2 linked regions of the Saccharomyces cerevisiae S288C genome follow. The main gene of each other region encodes a partner of the protein of the gene in region 2 in a complex. Each region holds a gene or a part of one and is shown on either strand. Other genes may lie near its edges. A codon is read from its position in the direction of its gene.

Region 1 (5,192 bases), on a different chromosome or scaffold from region 2:
GACTCAGTTCTAAACCAATTATCATGTAAATTTTTGTATAATTTCATCATGGAGGTGCATGGGTTTCCTTCTGGTATGATAAATGTGAGCCAAATGAATTGAAAAATACAAATAAAGATTATGTACGTAGATACGCGTTATAAAGAGGACTATCTGATCATTGGGGTCTTTTTCGTTGTGAAATTGTAACGGGTGAACTCAGTGATTAAAAAATTGCGTGATGTTGAGATACTATGGGGCGACAAGAAACTTACCCTTAGTATTCAGCATTAACAAATTAATGTTGAGGGCGTCATCTTTCACCAGGCCATTTCATTATAGTTCATATTCTCTACAGAACGGTGATACTCCTGATAAAGGCAGCACTAATAAAAATGAAATACGGACACCTAATAACGCTGTTTGGAAAGAAAATATAGAACTTCAATGGCAGCACTTGAAAAAGAAATTAAATGAATTGTATTCTAGGTTTAACTTCCACCGAGATCAATTATCCTTTCAAGTTAACAAGGCCAAAAAATCAATTCAAGAGGCAAACAGGAAGTTGTCTGAGCAAGAGAATGAAATCAACGATTCCCGTTTAAACTATAATAAAGATGAATTGACCAGTGCGAAAATTGAAGGATTGCCCTCCGAAAGGGAACAACATAGAAAAAAATGGTCTAGAAAGTTAGAGTTTTATTTTGACTCATTACAGGAGACGTTATTTACTGCCACACGTGCTTTAAATGATGTGACCGGTTATTCTGGAATTCAAAAGCTCAAATCTAGCATCAGTCTAATGGAAAAAAAATTAGAAGCTACAAAGAAAGAACACAAACTGTTTAAGGCACAGTACGCTAACGCCATTGATGAACGTGCTCAATCCCAAAGAGAAGTTAACGAATTATTGCAAAGGCAAAGCGCGTGGTCTTCGAGCGATTTAGAGAGATTTACGCAGCTATACAAAAATGACGCCTTGAATGCTAGACAGGAGCAAGAACTAAAAAACAAGGTTAAAGAAATTGAAAGCAAAGAAGAACAACTAAATGACGACTTGTATAGAGCAATTTTGACCAGGTACCATGAGGAACAAATATGGTCAGACAAAATCCGAAGAACATCCACCTGGGGTACATTCATCTTAATGGGTATGAATATATTCTTGTTTATTGTCCTACAATTACTATTAGAACCTTGGAAACGGAAAAGGTTAGTAGGATCGTTTGAAGACAAAGTCAAAAGCGCTCTCAACGAATATGCCAAGGAGCAGAATATGAAGATGGATAAATTGTTACCTGGAAAATCATCGGAAGTAACAGACCAAGGCAACACAGAAAACTCGATCGTTGAAGAGCACATAGAACAGAGAGGTGAATGTAAAATTAATACGGCGGAAATCGACAGGCCTGAAGTTGCAACGGCTGAGACCACTACAACAGAAATGAAATCCTTCAGAGATATTTGGGAACGAATAAAGGCACTTTTTGTCACACTAAAAAGCATACAATATAGGAAACTTGACGCTCCCCTAGTCTTTGACACCTTAGAGTTCTACTTATACTCAATTTCTTTAGTGAGTATGACAATCTTGGTATCCGGGCTGATATGACATGATATACTGCGCAAGAATATCGTTAAAAAAACACGCATGCATTTTTTTCATCCTTTATCCTTGTACATAATAAAATCATAAATACACAGTAAATAGCACGTTTTGGTTTCAATATCCTTAACCTTACCTAGCTAATGTTTAGCTGGTGTAATCCATTATAATCAAAATTTCTCTAATGTTTGGCTCTTCGTAGCGCGCGATGTGCCCTTTCATATTTTTCCTGAAAGTAAGGTGGCAAAATAGTAAATCTGCAGTAATTGGGTATAGCCATGAATATAGGAAGTAATAGGGCTCAGATTCTCAGTGTGTGGACAAACCAATTCTGCCTATTTCCTTTCACTCATAAGTTATACAAGAGGCAATCGGATAAAATTCAAGTATTTATAAAGTAAAAACCACAACAAGAATGGAGGAACTAGGTATTGTGACACCTGTCGAAAAGGCAGTCGAAGAAAAACCAGCCGTCAAATCATACGCATCATTGTTGGCTCAACTCAATGGTACAGTCAACAATAACAGTGCCCTGTCTAATGTGAATTCTGATATATATTTCAAATTGAAGAAATTAGAAAAAGAGTATGAACTGCTGACTTTGCAAGAAGACTATATTAAGGACGAACAACGCCATTTGAAACGTGAATTGAAGAGAGCTCAAGAAGAAGTAAAGAGAATCCAGTCGGTTCCATTAGTTATCGGGCAATTCTTAGAACCTATTGATCAGAACACAGGTATTGTTTCTAGTACCACAGGTATGAGTTATGTCGTTAGAATATTATCAACCCTAGACCGTGAACTATTAAAGCCATCTATGTCTGTAGCTTTACATCGTCATTCAAATGCTTTAGTTGACATCCTACCACCTGATTCCGACTCTAGCATATCCGTAATGGGCGAAAACGAAAAACCTGACGTCACTTATGCAGATGTTGGTGGGTTAGATATGCAAAAGCAAGAAATCAGGGAAGCCGTAGAGCTGCCATTAGTTCAGGCTGATCTATACGAGCAAATCGGTATTGACCCTCCTAGGGGTGTTCTATTATATGGTCCACCAGGTACCGGTAAGACGATGCTTGTTAAAGCCGTCGCCAATAGTACAAAAGCTGCATTCATAAGAGTTAATGGCTCCGAATTTGTTCACAAATATCTTGGTGAAGGTCCAAGAATGGTTCGTGACGTCTTTAGACTCGCCAGGGAAAATGCTCCATCCATTATATTCATAGATGAGGTAGATTCCATTGCCACAAAGCGTTTTGATGCTCAAACGGGTTCCGATCGTGAAGTACAGCGTATCCTGATTGAGTTGTTGACACAAATGGATGGTTTCGATCAATCCACCAACGTTAAAGTCATCATGGCTACAAACAGGGCAGACACATTGGACCCAGCTTTGCTGAGACCAGGCAGATTAGATAGAAAGATTGAGTTTCCCTCACTTCGTGATAGGCGTGAACGTCGTTTGATTTTCGGTACCATTGCCAGTAAGATGTCCCTTGCCCCAGAAGCGGACTTAGACTCGCTTATTATTCGTAACGACTCTCTATCAGGTGCTGTTATTGCAGCGATCATGCAGGAAGCTGGTTTAAGAGCAGTGAGGAAAAACAGATATGTCATCTTACAAAGCGATCTGGAAGAAGCTTACGCCACTCAAGTCAAGACAGATAATACCGTCGATAAATTCGACTTCTACAAATGATTACCATATATGCTTCAACGTAGGTCTACATAAAGTATTACGTACATTTCTATCTAGACAACACTAAATGAAATAAATACAGACGCCACTTTTTTATCACGTTTCTTAGCGTTATTCCGCGCGCAACCGGACGTCGCTAGCCAAGTTTTTCACTTTTTTTTTTCTGTGATATTTTTTTTTCCAAATGAGATGGTAAGATGAGTACCTATCAACAAGTATCTCAATCAATAAAGTACAACCAAAATATCAAGTACGCAGTCTCTGCTTCATCCCAGTGTAGATTTGCTATTCGATTTGTGTCATAAACATTTAACATTGCGCCCGTCTACAACAAAGGAGATAAATCAAAAAAGGAAATGGTACAAGAACAGGCAATTTTGAGCTGCATTGAGCAGACTATGGTTGCTGATGCAAAAATTATCAAAGAGGCAGAACAGCAGTTATTTGAGTTCCAGAAGCAACCTGGGTTTACTTCTTTTCTGCTTAATATAGTGTCTGATGATAATTTTGCGCTAAATGTTCGTCTTTCTTCTGCTATTTATTTGAAGAATAAGATTCACAGATCATGGGATACTAAGAGAGAAGATGGTATAAAAGCTGACGAAAAGCTTTCGATCAAGGAAAGGTTAATCGAGACTTTAGTTAAAAACTGTGAAAATAACCACATTAGGCCTATCCTGACTGAAACCATAAATGGGATACTTGTTGGTCAGGAAGATTGGGATTTAGCACCTATTATCAAGAATTTATTATCGAGCGGTGACGCATCGTACATTTATCCCGGGTTACTACTACTGTTCCAACTTTGTAAAGCTCATAGGTGGGACATGGTTGGGTCGAGAGATTATATTGATTCTGTTATCGAAGAACTTTTCCCTATTGTGGAAGGGATAGCTTCTAATATCGGTAGTCAAACGGATTACAGATCTAATGAAATATTGTACCTCATTTTGAAGTCATTCAAGTATGCATGTTTGAACAACTTGCCTCAATACTTCAGCCAACCTGAAAGAATTATGTCATGGGTGCAACTACATTTGTATTTATGTTCCAAACCATTACCAGTCGAAGTAATGGAACTGGATCCCGCAGATAGGTCCCTAGACAAAAGGGTTAAAGTGAACAAATGGGGGTTCGGTAACTTAAACAGATTCCTGCAAAGATACAACAAAATTACAAAGGCCATCACCAAGGAATTTATCGACTATATCTTCAATACTATTGTTCCTATAATTCTTCGAGAATTTTTTAAGGATATTGAAGCTTGGGGTAATAATTCACTATGGTTATCCGATTCCTCTTTGTATTTCTTAATTTCATTCCTAGAGAAATGTGTTACAATAGATCAACTTTATCCTTTAATTGAGCCACATTTACAAATTATTTTTGAGAACGTCATCTTCCCATGTTTGTGTGCTAATGAACAATCCATCGAATTATTAGAAGATGACCAAGAGGAATATACCAGGCGTTATTTTGACATTAACAGAGAAGGCTCTACGCCAGATGCTGCTTCAGCAGATTTCATATTCTTGATTGGGTCCAAACGTCCTGAGAAACTGAACAATATTTTACCGTTCATTAATGATATTTTTACTAGATTCGATGCCAATTCCAGTGATATTAACATGGCATTTAAAGAAGAGGGTGCTTTGAGAACATTGTCTAACTTGTTTTCGTTTATAGATGAGCCATCCGTTCTGGAGAATATTTTTGGACACTTCATCGTGCCATTGTTATCGCAGGATAAGTACATGTTTTTGGTTGCAAGAAGTTTGGAAACGATAGCGCTGTATTCGGAAGAATTTAAAGATATGAACATATTGTCACAATTATTTGAGTTAACATATACCAACTTCTTAAACAGTAACGTTTTACCAGTCCAAATTGAGGCCGCAGATGCCA
Region 2 (5,624 bases):
CCTTGCTACTGTTGTTTCCATTCAACCAATTTTTACCAGAGATGGGCCACTAAAATTAAACGATGAAACTTTACATATTCTCTTAGAGCTGAATGATATTGACAACAACAATAGAAGGGCAGACATACAATCCAGTACGTTTACTAATGACGATGATGACGACAATAATACCAGCAACAATAATAAACACAATAATAATAATAACAATAATAATAACAACAACAACAACAACAATAATAATAACATATTACACAATAATTATGAATTAACAACATCAAAGATTTCGGAAAACCAACTTGAACATCTTTTTCAAGCATCTTCCTCCTCCTTGGACATGGAGATGGAAATCGAAAACTGGTATAAGGAAATTTTGAATATAGCCACGGTGAAAGATGTTCAAAGAAAGCATGCACTACTAAGAAACTTCAGAGAAACCAAGATATTCACATATCTGCTACAAAATTCCTCAGAATCTTTTCATAAAAATGTCTTTTCTTTGTTGAAGGAGTGCTTAACGACGCTGTTTTTATTACTGGTGGCTAGTCCTTTGGACGATAACTCTCTGCATATTTTCTATAAAAGCAATCAGGATCATATTGATCTGTCATATTGTGACGAAGATGATCAAGTATTTTCACGAAAAAACGTATTTCACGAGGCTGCAAGTTGTCCAGAAAAATCACGCTTATTTATTCTAGATGAGGCTTTAACAACATCAAAGTTATCTAAAGAAACAGTACAAAAACTACTGAATGCCCAAGATATACATTCGCGGGTGCCGCTACATTATGCTGCAGAGCTAGGAAAACTGGAATTTGTTCACTCGTTGCTAATCACCAATCTTTTAGAGGACGTTGATCCCATTGATAGTGATTCTAAGACACCCTTGGTTTTGGCTATCACTAACAACCACATAGATGTTGTTAGGGATCTGCTGACTATTGGTGGTGCGAACGCATCACCCATTGAAAAGCCAATTCTGGATTATAGTAAGAATGTAATCAGCTCTACTAAAGTCCAGTTCGATCCTTTAAATGTTGCTTGTAAATTTAATAATCATGACGCCGCCAAGTTACTTTTAGAAATTCGGAGTAAGCAAAATGCTGATAATGCCAAGAACAAAAGTTCACAACACTTGTGTCAACCGCTTTTCAAAAAGAACTCAACAGGTTTATGCACTCTTCATATAGTGGCAAAAATTGGCGGCGATCCACAATTAATTCAACTATTGATACGTTATGGGGCGGATCCCAACGAAATTGATGGGTTTAATAAATGGACGCCCATTTTTTACGCTGTTCGTTCAGGTCATTCTGAAGTTATTACTGAACTATTGAAACATAATGCACGTCTGGATATTGAAGATGACAACGGCCATTCGCCACTTTTTTACGCCTTATGGGAGAGCCACGTTGATGTTTTGAATGCACTTTTACAAAGACCATTAAATTTGCCATCTGCACCCCTGAATGAAATAAATTCGCAGTCTAGTACGCAACGCCTTAATACAATAGATTTAACCCCAAATGATGACAAATTTGATTTAGACATTCAAGATAGCATTCCGGATTTTGCTTTACCACCGCCAATCATTCCACTAAGGAAATATGGTCATAATTTTTTGGAGAAAAAAATTTTCATCAAATTAAAGTTGAGGCCAGGTCTCGAGTCTATCAAGTTGACTCAGGATAACGGCATTATTATGTCATCATCACCAGGCAGAATTACTTTATCCTCAAACTTACCTGAAATAATACCGCGAAATGTTATTTTACCTGTTAGATCTGGCGAAATTAATAACTTTTGTAAGGATATCAGTGAAACAAATGATGAAGAAGATGATGATGAAATTAGTGAAGATCATGATGATGGAGAGATAATTTTCCAAGTAGATTCAATCGACGATTTTTCAATGGATTTCGAGATATTTCCTTCATTTGGCACAAGGATAATTGCCAAAACAACGGCAATGCCATTCCTTTTCAAGAAGGTGGCAATAAATAGTATTGCAACCATGAATTTACCCTTATTCGACACAAGACTAAATAATATTGGATCTCTCACTTTGGATTACCAAATTATTTTTCCTTATCCGGGAAATCCACTGAAAATCATAAATTATGAGCCGTATTGGAAATCTACAGGAAGTGATTTAATGACCTCTAGTAAAGACGGTAATTTTGTTACTTCTTCATCGTTGAATGGCAGTTTTATTAGTGTATTAGTTTGCGCTCTGAATGATGAAACCATAGTGGCTGCGCCAAAACCATACGTTGAATTCAAAGGCACGAAGATTCTGTTAAATGATTTAACGAAAGAACAATTGGAAAAGGTAGTGGATTATGACTTCGGTAAAATTGATGGAAGCTTCGATGAAGTAACATTGAAACAATACTTATCTTCGAGAGTGGTGCCTCTCAGAAGCCTACTAGAAGTTATTCCCGGGTCAGCCCAGCTGGTAATTCGTGTATATTTTCCTACAGATAAGGAAATTGACACAATTCCCATCAAAATATCGCCATTTATAAATATCAATCAATTCATTGATAAGCTTTTACTAATCATTTTCGAGCATGAACGTTTTTTGCGTCACAGCGGAAGTGGGAGTATGCGCCAAATAGTTTTCAGTTCATGCAATTGGGAAGCTTGCTCGATCCTTAACTGGAAACAACCCAATTTTCCGGTTTTGTTGCAAATGAAAAATCTACTCAGAGATTCAACCACAGGCAAATTTGTAGGTGATACTCCTAATTGTTTAAAGGAACTGGCCGTAAATCCTCAAAAAATGTCGTATTTAAACACGGAACTAATAAACATACATACAATGGTTCAATTTGCTATGAACAATAATTTGTTAGGTGTAACGCTTCCATATGAAGTACTGAAGATATGCCCGTCGTTGGCTAGGATCATCAAACAAAACGGACTACTGTTGATTGCATCGGTCGGGGAAAATGACCAAATACCAGCTGATGGAGGTTACAGCGGGATCTACTACGCTTGTGAGTTGCTTTTTGAGAATAATATTGATATGTAAAGTTCTGTAATATGTAGTTTTGAAATCTTATACATTATTTAGGAAAAACTTTTTAACCTGTTCATTAAGGGCAACATCTTCTGCCTTAGCGCCTTTATTATCTACAAGATCATATTCTGCACCATACTTTTCCACCAACAATACAGCTGCGTCACCGTGCCCTTCAGCCAAAGCATGAAATAGTGGGGTCCAACCCTGCTTATCCTGCCAATTTACAGCGCTTTTGCCCAAACCGCATAATAGTTCAATTAATTTCAAAGAACCCACCGACGCAGCTCTATGCAATGGAATTTGATTAAATTTATCTTTAATTCTTACGGACGCACCATTTTCAATTAAAAATTGGGATACTTCAAACCATTTCTTACCAACTGCCAAGTGCAAGCATGTAACTCCTTGATTGGTTATCTTATTTAGATCAGGCTTTAGAGGTCTGTCGTAAAGAGACTTTACCACCTCCAAATTCCCCACTGAACAAGCAATATGGAAAGGTGTCCATCCAGAATCATCTGGATAATCATCTAAGTTAACATTTTCCATTTTAGAAAGCAAAAAACTGGTAATTTCATGTGCTTGGAAAGAAACTGACCAGTGTAAAGGGATTCTGCCATCCTGGTCCTTCTGTAGCAACAAGGAAGGTTTGGAGTGTAGCAGCTCTTGTACCTTGAAAAACTCATTTTCCATGCAGGCTTGATGCAAAGGATAATTAGACATGGTTATACAGTTTTAAGGGCATGCATTTATGTAGCATTTATTATCACAGCTTCAGCTGATCGTTCTTTAAAGAACCCTTTTATGAAGGGCCCTTCGATCATACTTGACAGCCGGGTAAGAGAGATATTCTTTGTATAGAAATGAAATCAGATTACATAAAGCAGTGTGCAATTTGAGTGGCCCCATTTAAATACTTTCTACTTCCTCTATTGCTATGAGTAATACTGCGATGTGGCCGTATCCGTTTAGTCGATATTTTAATAGCTTGCATGTAATTGTGTTGCATAATCACTATCAACGACATAGAGTGGCAAACTTTTCTTGTATCGCTCATTTTGGCATCTAAGGGAAATAATAGCAAAAAAGGGCAATTCATAAACCATAAAGGACATCAGAAGAGTTTTACAGGGGAGGTTGTATTTTAGTAGCTCACGAAATAAAAGCAAGCGGCTGCTAGAAAAGAATATAATTTAGTGCTGATGAATAGATCACCTGGTGAGTTCCAAAGGTACGCAAAGGCGTTCCAAAAACAATTGTCCAAGGTACAGCAAACCGGAGGCAGAGGTCAAGTGCCTTCACCAAGGGGGGCATTTGCAGGCTTGGGAGGTTTGCTTTTACTCGGAGGTGGTGCACTGTTCATTAATAATGCACTGTTCAATGTAGATGGTGGTCATAGAGCCATTGTTTATTCCAGAATACATGGTGTTTCCTCTAGGATATTTAATGAAGGTACTCACTTCATTTTCCCTTGGCTTGACACACCAATTATTTATGATGTGAGAGCAAAACCTCGTAATGTTGCTTCTTTAACAGGTACCAAAGACTTACAAATGGTGAATATCACCTGTAGAGTACTTTCAAGACCGGATGTGGTGCAATTGCCCACCATATACAGAACCTTAGGTCAGGATTACGATGAAAGAGTGTTGCCTTCCATTGTTAATGAAGTTTTAAAGGCTGTAGTGGCCCAATTTAATGCGTCACAATTAATCACTCAAAGAGAAAAAGTTTCCAGGTTGATTCGCGAGAATTTGGTTCGTCGTGCAAGCAAATTCAATATCCTACTGGATGATGTTTCTATTACGTACATGACTTTTTCGCCAGAGTTTACGAACGCTGTAGAAGCAAAGCAAATTGCCCAACAAGATGCTCAAAGGGCTGCATTTGTAGTTGATAAAGCCAGACAAGAAAAACAAGGTATGGTAGTGAGGGCACAAGGTGAAGCCAAATCCGCCGAACTGATTGGTGAAGCCATCAAGAAATCAAGAGACTACGTGGAATTGAAAAGATTAGATACAGCCAGGGACATTGCAAAGATCTTGGCTAGCTCTCCAAATAGAGTCATCTTGGATAATGAAGCATTGTTGCTAAATACCGTAGTGGATGCAAGAATCGATGGAAGGGGCAAATAAATAGCGAAGGCTAGATATTATCTTTAAGAATTGAGTAACAATGTTAAGATGCCATATACTTGTGAATACAAAATAAAGGGAAAGAAAGCGATGCGTAAAACATAAATATTTGTATGTCTTCTAGAATAAGAATAAGGAGTATTACCCCGTATCATCTTGTATTGTTGGAGAACGTATATAGTATAATATGTAACACATACAGCAAAAAAATAGGCCAATTTATGATCATCATCCGTTAAATTAAATGTCTACATTCGGCTTGCGTGGTATATTCTGTTTGCCCCGCACAAACTCCAGTGTTTTGGGTTGCGATTTGGCTGAGAAAAGTTTTGACTTGTGATCATTCAGTTTTCTAGAGCATGGTGAAAGCAAATTGTCTGACGGCGACGCAAATTTTTGCCTAAGTTGCGTGTTCAAGTTTTTCCTTTGATCTTCCACTGCTTTTCTTTTCCGATACGTAT

Evidence for each region. The genes of interacting proteins can lie anywhere in the genome.
Region 1: the proteins of NAS6 (region 2) and RPT3 are in contact, whole or in part, in a crystal structure (PDB 2DZO), measured with the Saccharomyces cerevisiae proteins. Residues at the interface, in NP_011748.3 of Saccharomyces cerevisiae: Met11 (codon at 3,721), Gln34 (codon at 3,652), Asp35 (codon at 3,649), Arg37 (codon at 3,643), Trp42 (codon at 3,628), Ser45 (codon at 3,619), Phe46 (codon at 3,616), Ser71 (codon at 3,541), Trp73 (codon at 3,535), Ile78 (codon at 3,520), Ser81 (codon at 3,511), Val82 (codon at 3,508), Gln106 (codon at 3,436), Leu113 (codon at 3,415), Gly116 (codon at 3,406), Lys117 (codon at 3,403), Phe139 (codon at 3,337), Gln141 (codon at 3,331), Arg146 (codon at 3,316), Ser149 (codon at 3,307), Gln173 (codon at 3,235), Trp175 (codon at 3,229), His180 (codon at 3,214), Glu184 (codon at 3,202); in NP_010682.3 of Saccharomyces cerevisiae: Pro364 (codon at 3,090), Glu365 (codon at 3,093), Ala366 (codon at 3,096), Asp367 (codon at 3,099), Asp369 (codon at 3,105), Ser370 (codon at 3,108), Ile372 (codon at 3,114), Ile373 (codon at 3,117), Arg374 (codon at 3,120), Asn375 (codon at 3,123), Asp376 (codon at 3,126), Ser377 (codon at 3,129), Lys397 (codon at 3,189), Arg399 (codon at 3,195), Tyr400 (codon at 3,198), Val401 (codon at 3,201), Leu403 (codon at 3,207), Gln404 (codon at 3,210), Ser405 (codon at 3,213), Glu408 (codon at 3,222).

What each region holds. Positions count from the first base shown.
Region 1 is NC_001136.10:1,259,681-1,264,872, forward strand, and holds RPT3 (proteasome regulatory particle base subunit RPT3), read left to right. Parts: upstream 1-2,000; coding exon 2,001-3,287; downstream 3,288-5,192. Other genes in the region: transcriptional regulator SPT3, read left to right, coding at 1-29; SHE9 (She9p), read left to right, coding at 221-1,591; SXM1 (Sxm1p), read left to right, coding at 3,644-5,192. UniProt on the Saccharomyces cerevisiae protein: The 26S proteasome is involved in the ATP-dependent degradation of ubiquitinated proteins. The regulatory (or ATPase) complex confers ATP dependency and substrate specificity to the 26S complex.
Region 2 is NC_001139.9:952,087-957,710, reverse strand, and holds NAS6 (Nas6p), read right to left. Parts: upstream 3,752-5,624; coding exon 3,065-3,751; downstream 1-3,064. Other genes in the region: PHO81 (Pho81p), read left to right, coding at 1-3,037; prohibitin subunit PHB2, read left to right, coding at 4,231-5,163; BNS1 (Bns1p), read right to left, coding at 5,404-5,624. UniProt on the Saccharomyces cerevisiae protein: Acts as a chaperone during the assembly of the 26S proteasome, specifically of the 19S regulatory complex (RC) and appears to have an overlapping role with RPN14.